2 linked regions of the Stegostoma tigrinum genome follow. The protein of the gene in region 1 purifies or fractionates together with the protein of each later gene. This does not show direct contact. Links are inferred from orthologs where the notes say so. Each region holds a gene or a part of one and is shown in the gene's direction. Other genes may lie near its edges.

The links. The genes of interacting proteins can lie anywhere in the genome.
Region 2: the proteins of l3mbtl1 (region 1) and anapc1 purify together in Homo sapiens (affinity purification with mass spectrometry; 4 studies listed by BioGRID and IntAct, counting the BioPlex papers as one, with this or other methods). This does not show direct contact. The link is inferred for Stegostoma tigrinum from reciprocal best matches to the Homo sapiens genes L3MBTL1 and ANAPC1.

The regions. Positions count from the first base shown.
Region 1 is NC_081372.1:22,904,445-22,911,508, forward strand, and holds the start of l3mbtl1 (lethal(3)malignant brain tumor-like protein 1), read left to right. Parts: upstream 1-4,062; 5' UTR 4,063-4,135; intron 4,136-4,390; exon of another isoform or gene 4,391-4,636; intron 4,637-4,643; exon of another isoform or gene 4,644-4,707; intron 4,708-7,064. UniProt on the Homo sapiens protein: Polycomb group (PcG) protein that specifically recognizes and binds mono- and dimethyllysine residues on target proteins, thereby acting as a 'reader' of a network of post-translational modifications.
Region 2 is NC_081357.1:20,344,090-20,352,052, forward strand, and holds the start of anapc1 (anaphase-promoting complex subunit 1), read left to right. Parts: upstream 1-4,889; 5' UTR 4,890-5,043; intron 5,044-5,585; 5' UTR 5,586-5,609; coding exon 5,610-5,828; intron 5,829-7,963. UniProt on the Homo sapiens protein: Component of the anaphase promoting complex/cyclosome (APC/C), a cell cycle-regulated E3 ubiquitin ligase that controls progression through mitosis and the G1 phase of the cell cycle.

The DNA.
Region 1 (7,064 bases):
TTCCATAGTGGATGAATAGTCTTAACAACAGAAATTCGCAATTATGTTGGCAACAAGTGATTTATAGAGTGGAGGGAAAACTTGTGTTTTTAAGAGAAATTTGTGCCTCCTTGTTTTGTACTAAAATTTGGAAAACTCTGGTTTGAATTTTTGTATTTTAAAAGTTTTTAGCAGCATCAATTTCCAACCTAGCAATGTGCTGCTGTGTACAGCAAAAAACAATTCAGTTGTTTAAGATTCTGCAAAAATTAAGTTTGTTTTTTCCATTTTATTCTTGGGATTTGGGTTTTACTGGTAATGTTAATGTTTTATATTGTCTGTACCTCCATTTCCTGAGAAAGTTGAAGCCCCTGTCGAAGTACTGAACTCTAAAGAAGCAGCTATATTACTGCTATGTTAGGAGTTCAAGAATGTTGATCCTTTGAGAAGGAAGGGACAGTCATATGCCCAAGTCTGGATGGGGTGAATCTTAGGAGCTTTTGGCTATCTCTCGTAGGGTGATGGCATATTTATGTAGTATTCTTTAAGAAAAAGTTTTCCAAATTGCTGCAGTGAAGGCGTGCACACTAGCCAAATGTCAGTAATGGGTGTATAGGTGAGTGCATGAAGCACTGATTAAACTGCGTCTTTTGGGGCAGTTTGCAGTTGTATTCATCTGAACAAATGGTCAGTGTACTTCATATTTTGACCAATGCCTCATTAATAGTACAACAATTTTGGGCAGCCACTTACTGCAGGATACCCAGCTTTTGATTCTAAGTAGCAGGGTAATTTTGTGGGTAACTGAACAAGATTTTTTGGCTTAATGCTGGAAACCCCTCTTCCATTTGGCATATTGCTGGAGGAGTCAGAGGTCTACAGCACAGAACAAGATCCTTTGGCCCATCAGGTCTGTGTGAGCCAAAACTTACCACCTAACTATTTTAATCTCACTTTTCCTGCATTTGGCTCTTATCGATACGGTATTGAGAAATTGTTTGATTTTGGGATGGTCATTCAAAGCATTTGCAAAGTGTGAATTGTGAGATGTTGCTTTCTTTTTGTAAGCAGTGAATATGTTTGGATTTACACAGCTGCCTGGGTGAAGTCACATTTCCTGTGGGTGCATTATAAATGTGTGATAAACAAGGTAGACAGCTGCCTTCACTGGCTTAGAAAGAAGTTAATTTCGATGGTAAAACGTATACTAAAAGGACACATGCATGAAAATGTTTTTTTTTGTTCAAGATTGAATATGATTTGCTCCTAAATGATTATTTTTTTTTCCCCCCTATTTGGATTAGCTATCAGCACCAACTGGGAACTGCAAGTGGATCTTTGTGGCAGACTTGTATTTGGAATAGTTACCTAAGCATGTGAGAAAAATTGAAAAATACAGGGAAGATGTCAGTTTTTGTAAAGAAGAAAAATTAACAATCTGCTCCAGGCTTTTTGAGTGTATTTGTTAGGTTGTAGATAGTCAGATACAATAAAGTTTTTCTGACTGTACCCTCTGTACAACTATAATAAGCTCTCAAACTGAAACTGCACTAAACTTTCTAAATGCTGCTGCTTGTAGCTACTGCCAGGAGATCTGCTGTCATGTCATACCTGTTTGTCTTATGCCATCCTCACATGTTTGCTGTAGCTCATCTCTGTCCACTCTGATGCCCACATCAAATTCCACCTATGTTGACCCTTTATTGCTCTCAAGGAGGGATCTCTGATATTTGGCTCTGATGAAATGGCTAAAATAATGACTTTTTCTTGATAATTAATGGAGTCTATTTTGTGCTCGTAATATTAAGTTGCAATTGTCATGTGGAATTTTTCTAAATCGGAAGTACTAATTTAAATTCAAAAGTTAGTCCTAAAATGACTTGCAAGAACGGATGTGTGGTCAGAATGCTTCAAAGAATTCAAACAATAAGAATTTATTCATGATCCAAGTAGACAAGGTTTTCTGGCTGTTCCGCAAAGGTTGGAAGTTATTGAAAAGTGTAGACGTTCATTGAAATATCAACTTTTGCTAAATAACAATTAGTTCAAACAGGTGAAAATTTGTGTATGGTGTGATAGTTTTCTTTTTATAAAAAATGCAGTTTAACTTCGTGGAAAGAGAAGAACACATGTCTTTCTAGAGATAGACTCCAGGAACCAAACCTAATCTAACTTGCATGTTAGGTTGACAGCTGACAGCTGTGTGCATTTAATGATGTTTTACATCTTGTTAAAATGCGTCCATGTCTTTTGAGTTACAAAGGAAAATACCTGTTCAAAAGAAAGCAATAATAATTACACAACATTTTATTCTTTTTGCAGTCATTAAATTATAGATTTGAAATTGCTAAGATATTTTACTTCTAAGAATGTTTGCAGTTTCAAGCAGACGGCAAAACCTGCAGAAGCTTCTCATTGCATTTGGTTGTTTAGCATCTGGGTGGAGTGTTCACTTTGGCAGAAAAATACAAGTCAACCGTGTCCTGCACATATTAGAAAATTGTAGGCAAGGACTGTAAACGTGGATGCTGAAGGCTTTAAAAAAAACAATGGACTGAAGTTTCTCAGATTTTAGCTTTTTTTTAAGAATGTGACTCATGTTACTCCAGCCTGTAATAAAGGACGATGACTTTTCTCATGCATTTTTTTTGTATTATGTAAGTGGTTTCTTCAGTGGCCATCTTGTGGTGGAAGAAGTGAAAGTGTTCATTTACTACCCAGACTTCAGATGTTGTATATCGTGACACTGTGGTCCTGTACTGTAATCCCAGAGGAAGTGGTCCAGATTGAAAAGTTTGCTTTTCCTTAGTTCACTGTCGAGGATCTGGAGGTGAAGTGGTGGAAAGGGAGGCAGTTTTTGTTTTTGGCTCTAAAAGACCCTACATCACCAGAGTCAGCCAGCCTGAACAGAAGTAGCAGTCAGCACTTGCTGCAATAGCCCAAGTGAAACAATGCACAGCATTGCAGAACAAACGTTAATGATCTGTGCTCCATAAGAGTAATTGCTACCATCTTCTGTTTGCCATCTTATGCTCACAAGGCTACCATTTGCTATAATTCTGCCACTGCACACATCTCGCCAAATTTCAGGGACTACGGTGTTCATTATTGCATGGCCAATCAAGGGCTCTGTCAGTATCTACTATTCCAGCTGTCCATGTTTCCCATATATTCACTGGGGACACCCCACTATCTCTTTTGCTCCTACACTGCCACTAATTTCTCTTTCATTCACTATCATCATACTCAGTCTCCCCTTTTGTTTAATCGTAGGAGACATTGATTTACAGGAATTAAAGGATTGATGTACTAGTTGTTCATGACCTGCAGGACTAACCTAACACTGCACTAGATTTAGACATGTCCCTTGACCTACTGCAGCAGTATCACCTGAGTGACCAGGGAGAAGCATTTAAGTCGTGTGTCTGACCTCCTGACTGAAGTTTTGAAGGTCAGAAGTTGATCTAAGAGCATACAAGCATCATAGTATGCAGAGTTTGGTGGCTTGCTGATGCCTGACTGGCTTGGATGAAGGGAAGAGAATGGCACCCATTGGAGTATTTAGGAACATTATGGTGAAAGCAGAGTTTGATTAAGGCTCAGAGAAAAGCAAGCTGTGACTTACTGTTGCTAGATCATTTTTCTGACTTTCACATCAGGATTTGGTGCTGCCTAGTTCCTTGGGGAAAGATAGCAAAATGGGAAGCTGTGGAATTGAGATGAAATAGACCATGAATGTGATGCAAGTGATGGAAATAGGTCAGTCACTAGCTACTAGTGAAATTTGTAACTTGCAATTTGAACCTTAAGCAGGAAATCAAAAGTATTGTTCTTGACATCGAGATTCTGAATTTAAAAATGTTTTGCCCTATATTCCCACATTTCCTGCCCATGCTGCATGGGTGGGGGGAGAGGGGAGAACTGGAAAAATTCTAATGCTTCTAAGAAATAGACTGAAGTATCAAAAAAAGTATTAGAAGGAAACAAACAGTTAAAAAAAAACCCTGTTGGTGAATGAAGATGAAACCCTTAAGTGTACCAGAAATTATGCAAAAAACTGGAGGATCTGCAGAAAGAGGGTAACAGGTACTGAGAGCATTGCACATGCGCAATCTCATCCCTCAGCCCGCAGCTAAGACGCGTGAATATTGTATTGGTAAGAAAACCAATTATTTCACTATTAGTAAAATATCGTAAATGACTTCAGTGGGGCAAAAAAAGACAAGATCCCAAGAGGGCAAATAGCGTCACCCTTTAGTTAACATCTATTTCGGTATATTCCTGCCAAATTAATTCATTGCCTCTCAGTTGCATTCTGTTTTTACCGCGGGTGTCAGTTTTTAACTAAATATCATGTATATTTACGTGAGGGAGTCAGGAAATCGATGGGAACTCCGCACACATTCGCTTCAGAAGCGCCGCGCAGTGTGTGCGGTAGCAATTTGCGAATTTGATACCTTTTTCATTGCAACTTTCTAGTTAACTGTATCTCTGCCTAGAATTAAAGGCGTACATTAGGGAAAGACAAGCGGGGGCTCAGAGGCGGTGGATCCACCTCTAGTATCTCAATTCAGGGTGTTCATATGTATCTAAGTGTATCCCACTGAATTTTGCTGTGGCTTCTGTTCTCTGGCTCGCTGTCAGCTCCGCCATTTTGGTAAGAAATAAAACCTAGTGTTTGGATTTATTAGTCAATAAAAATGAATGGACGTGACATTCCCCGCTCAGGTAAATCTGAATATCATGATCTATTCTGTTAATTGATTTATCATGATCACATTCACAGGAATGGCAAGATTGAAGCCATTTAAACTGCAGTGATTTAATGACCTGTTTAGTCTTTGCTTTAACTAGAATTATTTTCAGCCGCCTTTTCGGATCATTTCAGGCAGGGTGTGAAATATACTTATTCAAAAATAGTAATAATTAGCCTTCAATTTCAGAAATCCGGTGAAGAAATATTTGATTTGTCCAGCAATATTTATTTATCGTACGCTGGAAATAAAGTGCACGTTGATAATGACAAGCAATATATTTTAAACTTAATTCATGCCCCGTGCATTATTTATACAACGAAAGGGAAAAGAGATTTAGTGCACGTCGAACATCATCTCATTCGATAGAGCAATGTAATGTGGCTTCACACCGACATATACCAGATTAAGCAAATAAGGTTAACTAAATTTCTTGAATTATTGTAATACTTTTTAAAATTGCTGTATTTTAACAGAACACATTTATAAGCCTCAATTGCAATTCTGAAATTTCCCTTGTGGCCAACTAAATCTCGTAATAATTGATTATAAACTAATCGGCAAAGTGGAAAACAAAGATTTGTTTACTTCACAGAAATGGACATGATAGCTAGACAAAACTGTGATAAAATAATGAAATAGGGCAGTGTTATTGATAAGCATTTACTTTTTAGGCAAATAGTTATACCATTTTGTTGGATAGAAAAAGAGGGAGAAATAAAACATGACTTGTCAACAATGGAAATCTGACTTTTTTTGAAAAACTGGAAATCGTCAACAGTTCAGTCAGTATCTGTGGAGGTAAAAACAGCATTACTATTTGGGTTGACCGTCTTTTATTGCAACTGGAAGATGTTGGAAATATTTTAAATTAGCTGATGATTTAATGCTTGTGGTGTAATTAAGAGCGTAATATCACCCAACTTTGTCCCTGCATCAACTGCTTTGCTACTAAAATCCTCATTCATGTCTTTGTTACCTCTAGACTTGAGTGTTTCAATGCAGTACTGGCTGATATCCCACATTCTACCCTTTGTAAACTTGATGTTATTACAAACTTTTTGTCTTGCAAAAGCCTCCAATTCCTTATGAATCGCATTGGTTCCTGATCAAGCAAGGCTTAATTCTTTATTTTCAAATTCTTACATGACCTCCTGTCTCCCTAGTTCCTTAATTTCCACCAGGCCAACAAAATTCTGAGGTATCTGTGCTCTTCTAATTCTGGCCATATAATTCTGAGTTTTAATACAGTTTCAATTACTGTACCTTAGGAGGTTGTGCATTCACTTGTGAGGCTGCAAGCTGCAGAATACTCTCCCTACTTCATAGAATCCCTACAGTGTGGAAACAGGCCCTTCGGTCCAACAAGTCCATATCGAACCTCGGAGCATCCCACCCAGACCCATCCCCTTTAACTCACCTAATCGACACCTCCCTAAACACTATGGGCAATTTTAGCATCGCCAATCCACCTCACTTGCACACCTTTAGACTGTGCAACGAAACCGGAGCACCCAGAGGAAACCCATGCAAACACAGGGACAATGTGCAAGCCCCACATAGACAGTCACCCGAGCCTGGAATTGAACCCAGGTCCCTGGTGCTGTGAGGCAGCAGTGCTCGTGCTACCTCATCTCTCTACCCTGCTCTTGTTAACTCCTTAAAATGACTCCTTTTGTCCTCACTATTGGTCATCTGATCCTACGTGACTTGGCACTATAATCCTGTGGAATACCTTGGGACTTTTTGTTATCAATTCTCTATAATGTAATTTGCTGGTTGTTGGGGAAATGATGTTGCAGGTGACCAAGAAAGGAGGCAAAGGGAGAGTGAGTAGAGTGATTAAATGGCAAAATTGATGGAAATGACAAGGTAAAACAAACTGAGAGTGAGACTGTTGAACAGACAAAAGATCAGTGTTAATGGGTAAAGGGTAAGAGAGGAGGAGGGATACATGGTAAATCTGGCATAAGAAGGAGTTTATGGCCCAGGTGGAAAGAAAAGGCAGAGATAAATGTCAGGAGTGAATCCTGCTTGAAATGCATCTGTACATCCTTCCAATACAAATACTAGTCCGCAGTTCCTCCAGTGGCGGTGGTGCTGAGGCAGGCATCCTCCATTATCACACCTGCTGTCTCAGACAAACTTGAAGCAGTTGTTAAAATTGTTAAACTCATTGTGAGATAGTCAGAAGGCTGCTTTTTATACAGTAAAAAGATGAGGTGCTGTTCCTCAAATTTATATTGTGTATTGTTGGTGAAAAGAAACATAAAGAGACACACATATAAATCTTTTCATTTATATGGTTCTTTTCATGACCTCATGGTATCC
Region 2 (7,963 bases), on another chromosome or scaffold:
TCCTTGTAGAGGTGAAGACCTGCCTTCACATTGAGAATACCTCCATCATGTTGTGTGGCACTATCACCGTATTAAATGGAACATATTTCAAACAGATCTAGCAACTCATGACTGGCCATCCACGATTGTGTGCCATCAACAACACCAGAATGGTACTCCAGCACAGTCTGCAACCCCATGGTCCAGCATATCCCCCATTGTCAAACCAGGGGACCAAACCTGCTTCAATGAGAGCACAGGAGAACATGCCAGGAGCAGCACCAGGCATACCTAAGCCTGAGGTGTCAAGCTAGACACTGATAAACAATTGCACAACCAATGGATCAGATCTAAGCTCTGCAGTCCTGCCACATCCTTTACAATTAACAGGAGGGGGAGGCTCCACGAATATCTCCATCCTCAATGATGGGGGATCTTCACACATCAGCATGAAAGCAAAAGCTGAAATGTTTGTTATTCTGCTTCAGCCAGCAGTGCCAAGTAGATGATCCATTTCAGCCTCTCCTTGAGGTCTCCAGCATCACAAATTGCAGGCTTTAGCCAATTTGCTTAACTCTACATGATCAAAAGAGCGCTGACAATATTACAGCAACACTGCTGAAGTCTGTAACACCAGAACTAGACGGTCTCTGAGCCAAGCTGTTCCAGTACGGCTGCAACACTGGCATCTACCTCGAAATGTGGAATATTGCCCAGCTATGTCCTGCATACAAAATAAAAGAGCAAAACCCAACCCATGCAATTACTGCTCCATCTGTCGACTTGCAATCATTAACAAAATGATGGAGGGTGTCATCCACAGTGCTATCGAGTAGCACTTGCTTAGCAGTAACCTGCTTAGTGATGCTCAGTTTGTGTTACCAATGACCACTCAGCTCCTGACCTGTTTTCAGTCTGAGTTCAAACATGGACCAAAGAGCCGAATTCCAGAGGTGAGGTGAGAGTGACTGCCCTTGATGTTAAGGCTGCATTTAACTGGGGACGGCATCTAAGAATCAGAGTCCTAGGAAAACAGGAATCAATGGAAATAGGGGGAAAACTCTCAGATGGTTGGAGTCATACCTGGAACATAAGAAGATAGCTGTAGTTGTTGGAGGGCAGTTATCTCAGCTCCAGGACATCTCAGCAGGAGTTCCTCAGGGTAGTGTCCATGGCCCAACCATCCACAGCTGCTTCACCAATGGTCTTCCCTCCTTCGTAAGGTCAGAAGTGGGGATGTTTGCCGATGAGTGCACAATGTTCAGCACCATTCACAACTCCTCAGATACTGCAGCAGTCCATGTTCAAATACAGCAAGACCTGGACAGTAGACAGGCTTGGGCTGTTGAGTGGAAAGAAACATTTGGCCCAGACAAGTACCAGGCAATATCCAATCCCAATAAGAGAGAATCCAATCATCTCCCCTTTGACCTTCAATGACATTACCATCACCATCGATATCCCGGGAGCCACCACTGACCAGAAACTGAACTGAACTCACCCTATAGATACTGTGGCCATAAGATCAGGTCAGGGGTTTGGGATTCTGTGGTGGGTGTCTCACTGCTCTGTCTCTTTGGAGATCATAAGGCATTGTACAATAAAAGACAGAAGAAGTGGTAGTGGTTATAACGTAGATAAGACATAGATTCAGTAGGGTTCTTGTTTGTACTCAGTAAGTTGCTGATTTTAGGTGGTTCAAATCACCCCCAGGTCATTAGGTTCTGACACTGGTCTTACTTAGGGAATGTGGAAGGAAGGAGGCATTAGACAGGTGTTTCAGGTCAAAAGAATCTCTGTGTTTATTTAAATATAAAAAAGGTAATTATGCTACAAGAAATATAGGTAAAAGCACTGAACAGTGAAATTAACACTCCCAAGTATACAGAGGACACTAATTAAATACACTATCAAATTAAACACAGACTAAACATTGTTAGAACCTAAACAGCAGTTTTAATCACAGAAATTTTAATCAGGCTTCCTACCCTTGGAGTCCCACACACTGCCACCACCTGCCTTCCCCTCCCTGCTAGCTAGATTGGAAACTTTGGGGTCTCTGGAGTTTAAGTTTGCCACGAAGGAAAATGCAGTTTTGAAGTACAGCTGGCTGTGGAGGTTCTTATTGTCAGTTCCCTTGGTTCAGAACAGGCTCATGTCCGGACGTTCTGCGTTGTCAAAACCATCAGATTTGCATAGAATTGGTTTTTGGTATCTAAGTGCCTGGTTCACATTGATTGGCTAAATTCAAAACTTGTCTTGGTAAAAGGTGCTGCCTGGCCTGCTAACTGTACGGCCTTATGATACAAATGTTTCAATTCGGGTGCTTTCTGTGTATGCGCAAACTTTCAAGCCGCTGCTCACAGGTATCCATTTTAAATCTCTCAGTGCAGCAAAAGCACATAATCTTTTAAAGGGACCACACAATGCTTCCTGTGCCCCCTCCAGCATTTTACAAACACCAAATTCTAACTTCCTACCTCCCAATCTACAAGTGCTCTACCCAACTTCGCAACACTAAGGAACTACTACGTATGCATAATTTCTTCAGTATAAATTAGACCCACAGAGTCTGCGGCAGCTTCAGTTTGCCCAGAATACTGACAGAGCTGAAATAGTGTATAAGGAGAATGCGGGATCTGTTTGACTCATTCAAGTGGGAGCCCATTGCTCTAGCAGAAGATTTGACCTTAGTTGAAGTTTGGAACTGATGTATGTGAGTTACATGGCTAAGCCCTTCTCATGGCTAGAACAAAGAACAAAGAAAATTACAGCACAGGAATAGGCCATTCGGCCCTCCAAACCTGCACCGATCCACATCCTCTATCTAAACCTGTCACCTATTTTCCAAGATAGTAGGAATCGCAGATGCTGGAGAATCTGAGATAACAAGGTGCAGAGCTGGATGAACACAGCAGGCCAAGCAGCATCAGAGGAGCAGGAGGATCTGATGCTACTTGGCCTGCTGTGTTCATCCAGCTCTACACCTTGTTATCTTACCTATTTTCCAAGGATCTGTATCCCTCTGCTCCCTGCCCATTCATGTATCTGTCTAGATACATCTTAAATGAAGCTATCATGCCCGCCTCTACCACCTCCGCTGGCAATGTATTCCAGGCACCCAACACCCTCTGCGTAAAGAACTTGCCACACATATCTCCCTTAAACTTTTCCTCTCACACCTTGAAATCGTGACCCTCCAGTAATTGAGTCCCCCACTCTGGGAAAAATCTTCTTGCTATCCACCCTGTATGTACCTCTCCTGATTTTGTAGACCTCACTCAGGTCCCCCCTCAAACTCTGTCTTGCATGTAAATAATCCGAATCTACTCAACCTCTCTTCATAGCTAGTGCCCTCCATAGCAGGCAACATCCTGGTGAACCTCCTCTGCACCGTCTCCAAAGCATCCACATCCTTTTGGTAATGTGGCGACCAGAACTGTACGCAATATTCCAAATGTGGTCAAACCAAAGTCCTACACAACTGTAACATGACCTGTCAATTCTTGTACTCAATACCCTGTCCGATGAATGAAAGCATGCCGTCTGCCTTCTTGACCACTCTATTCACCTGTTTCGCCACCTTCAAGGTACAATGGCCCTGGACACCCAGATCTCTCTGTTCATCAATTTTCCCCAGGGCTTTTCCATTTACTGTGTAGTTCGCTCAAACTATGGCAACTATTAGACTAAGACAACACTTTCTTGATTGGGCATGGTATCATTTCAATTGCTCCATGCAGCATCCTATGAAAAATCAAACTAATTCTTGTTGTAGCCTATTAGATTTAGATTTAGCCTATCAGACATCACAAAATCAGATAATAGTCTACAGTTCACTCCAGAAGAATGGATGAAGTGTGGGCATATTAGGCTTTCTAGCTGTGATACATTTGACACAAAAGAGAGATTGAAGGGAAAAGTCCTGCGGAGACAAAGGACTGTGCTTTAAAGACAAGAAAATGTGAGGCTGGTTGAACACAGCAGGCCAAGCAGCATCTCAGGAGCACAAAAGCTGACGTTTCGGGCCTAGACCCTTCATCAGAGAGGGGGATGGGGAGAGGGAACTGGAATAAATAGGGAGAGAGGGGGAGGCGGACCAAAGATGGAGAGTAAAGAAGATAGGTGGAGAGAGTATAGGTGGGGAGGTAGGGAGGGGATAGGTCAGTCCAGGGAAGACGGACAGGTCAAGGAGGTGGGATGAGGTTAGTAGGTAGATGGGGGTGTGGCTTGGGGTGGGAGGAAGGGATGGGTGAGAGGAAGAACCGGTTAGGGAGGCAGAGACAGGTTGGACTGGTATTGGGATGCAGTGGGTGGGGGGGAAGAGCTGGGCTGGTTGTGTGGTGCAGTGGGGGGAGGGGACGAACTGGGCTGGTTGAGGGATGCAGTAGGGGAAGGGGAGATTTTGAAACTGGTGAAGTCCACATTGATACCATTAGGCTGCAGGGTTCCCAGGCAGAATATGAGTTGCTGTTCCTGCAACCTTCGGGTGGCATCATTGTGGCAGTGCAGGAGGCCCATGATGGACATGTCATCTAAAGAATGGGAGGGGGAGTGGAAATGGTTTGCGACTGGGAGGTGCAGTTGTTTGTTGCGAACTGAGCGGAGGTGTTCTGCAAAGCGGTCTCCAAGCCTCCGCTTGGTTTCCCCAATGCAGAGAAGCCACACCGGGTACAGTGGATGCAGTATACCACATTGGCAGATGTGCAGGTGAACCTCTGCTTGATGTGGATTCCACATCTGCAGTTCCCATTATCACTGTGCTTTAAAGATTGCTTTAGGCCAGATGTACCAACCTCTCAGAGAAACTGGAGATGGAGCAGGTACATTTCGCCAGGCCCCCGGGAGATGGCGCTCTGTCACCAGGCTCGAATGCGCTGGCGCGTATTCAGCGCAGTGACTGATGGGAGTTCAAGATGGCGACGCCCATCTGATTCTTCAAATCGGAGTTTAAGTGAATTTTGCTTTTGGCGCGGATTCGGAGCAAAAACCAAATCCCCGGATTTTGGAGGCGGATGGTCGCAGAGAAACCGTCATTAGAAGTTTCACTCGTTATTTTAACAGGTCGGTTCGGTCGTCTTTTATTAATAATAATGACCTGAAATATTCTCATCATTCCCCGATTTCCTTCTTTACCCCAGTGACCCCCTTCACCCGGTTGTACCCCCCCGCCCCACACCCTCCCACGCCCCACCCTACGCCAAATATCCCACCCCACCCCACCCCAACCCAATGTCTCTTCCTCCATTGCTCCCACCTCACCTGACTCCCCCTTTGCCCCACACTCTCCCCATCTCCTGCTCCACTCCCATATCTCCTCCACAACCTGAAATCTCTCACTTCTCGTTATCTCCTTTGGCTCCCCTTCTTCTGCATCAAGAGTTGAGTTATTTTGTTCTGAAGAAGTGTCAATGGACTCAATGTTAGTTCTGTTTCTCTGCTCACAGATCTTGCCAGACTTGCTGAGTTTCTCCTGCACTTAGTGTTTGTTTCAGATCTCCAGCGACTTCAGTTCTTTGATTTATTTTATTTGAGTTACATTGCTGTCTGCACAGCACTTGCTTTGAATTTTAGTTTTTCTTAAGTCGTTGCTTTTCTTCAAGCAGAAATAATGCTGATATCTGGAACCCATGTCGAACGTCTGTGAAGAGAGGGTAACAATGATTGCAGCAGGGGAAATGCAGGAGTTTGTTCCGTTCGGCCGTGACCACTGCAGGCGCCACCCTAATGCCACAAATCTTCAGCTTCGGCAGCTGCAGCCTGCTTCAGAACTGTGGTCCTCTGATGGTGACGCAGGATTGGTGGGATCACTGAGAGAAGTTACAATCCATGAGAAACAGAAGGTGCAGGTTTGAAACTCTCATCTGAAATTATCAGTAACCTCTAAAATGAAGAGCTGACATGTTCTGCAGTAGGTTGCCAAAGACTTTATAATAAAGATTTTGAATTTTCCAAGTTACAGTTGAACTTGTACACATGGATTTTGGGGAATCATCAAAAGGATATTGGGTGGGAAAATGACTAGTAATAGAAATAAATTCTACTTATATTGCCTCTTTCACAACTTCAGTCCCCTGCATCATTGTACACCCAATGTCATCTTGCTCTATAGGAATTATTGCATCCAGTGTACAAACAAGATTTCATAAACATGGTCAGGTAATCGTAGAAGTTCGTAGAATCCCTACAGTGTTGAAACAGGCCCTTCGGCCCAACAAGTCCACACCGACCCTCGGGTCACCCGTCCAAATCCATCCCTCTATAACCCACCTAATCTGCACATCCCTGAACACTATGGGCATTTAGCATAGCCAATCCATCTAGCCTGCAAATCTTTGGACTGTGGGAGGAAACCGGAGCACCCGGAGGAAACCCACGCAGACACTGGGAGAATGTGCAAACTCCACACAGACGGTTACCCGAGGCTGGAATTGAACCCGGGTCCCTGGTGCTGTGAGGCAGCACTGCTAACCACCGTGTCACCCTTAAGAATGGCTGGTTTAGCAACATTGGCTGAGGGATAAATGTTGGCCAGGAAATTCGTGAGAACTGTCCTGCTCCTCTCAGAAGAGTCACAGGGTCTTTTGTGTGCGCACCTGAGAGAGTGCTTTGGCTTAACAGCTCATCGGACCACTCAGACCCTGGATTCCAGCATTTCCTCAGTGCTGTGCTGAAGTGCCATCAACAATTTGTGCACACCTTGCTGGAGTGGACTTGAATTCTCAACCTTCTGACTCAGAATGTGCCAGTACTATTCCACGGCTGAAGTGCATCTGAGGCTTCAGTGCCCCAAGAATAATAGATAATAACACAAAAATAGGTGGAAAGGCAAGTTTCAGGAGACACTCAGACATTTTACAAAAAGATAGTTATACATGAAGTGGACAAGGAAATTGTAATACTTGTGCACACAATGCACAAAGCTAGCACCAGGTGCAGCGGGGTAATCAGGAAGGGAAATGGAATGTTGGCCCTTATTTCAAAAGGATTGGGATATGAGAGTAGGGAAGTCTTTTTTGCAGCTGAACAAGGTGCTGATGAGACCCCAACTGGAGTACTGAGAGCAGTTTTGGTTCCCTTATTTAAGAGATACCATTTCATTGGAGGAATTTGCGAAGGTTCACAGGGATGACCCCCAGCACAGAGGAATTGTCTTATTAGCAAAGATCAAACAGGTTGGGACTCTACTCACTGGAGTTTAGAAAAATGAGAGAAGATCACGTTGAAATCAATATGAATTTTTCAGCGCTTGGCAGGGTAAATGCTGAGAGGGTGTTTCCTCTCATTGGAGAGCCTCAGACCAGTAGGCATAGTCGACTTAAGACTGAGCTGAGGAGGAATTTCTTCTCTGAGAGGGTTGAGTGTCTTTGGAGTGCCACAGAGAGCTGTGAGGGCAGAGTCTTTGTGCATATTTAAGGCTGAGATAGGTTGTTAATTAGTTGGGCAATCCAGGGTTACAGGAAAATGGAAGTGAGGCATGTTGAATCAGCCACAATTCTGTTGAATGGCATAGCAGATTTGAGGGGCTGAATGGCCTACTTCTGAGGGGAGAATATAAAAGAAGTTCAGAATTTTGAAAACATATCCAAGAGTTGACCACATTTTGCCCTGATACATTTAACCTCGGGTGGGTGACTGTCTGTCTGGAGTTTGCACGTTCTCCCTGTGTCTGTTTGGGTTCCTTTGGGTGCTCCAGTTTTGCCCCACAGTCCAAAGATGTGCTGGTTTAAGTGGATTTGCCATGCTAAACTGCCCTGTACTGCCCAGGGGTGCGTAGCCGAAGTGGATTAGCCATGGGAAATGCAGGGTTAGGGTGGAGGGTGGGTTGTGGTAGGATGCTCTTTGGAGGGTTGCTGTGAGCTTGATGGGCTGAGTGGCCTTCATCCATGCTGTATGGATTCCATGATTCTTCTTGCTGCTGCACAGTGCAAGTGGCAACAGGCCAAATGTCTCACCTTGGCCCCCTTCGTATTTTACATCTACA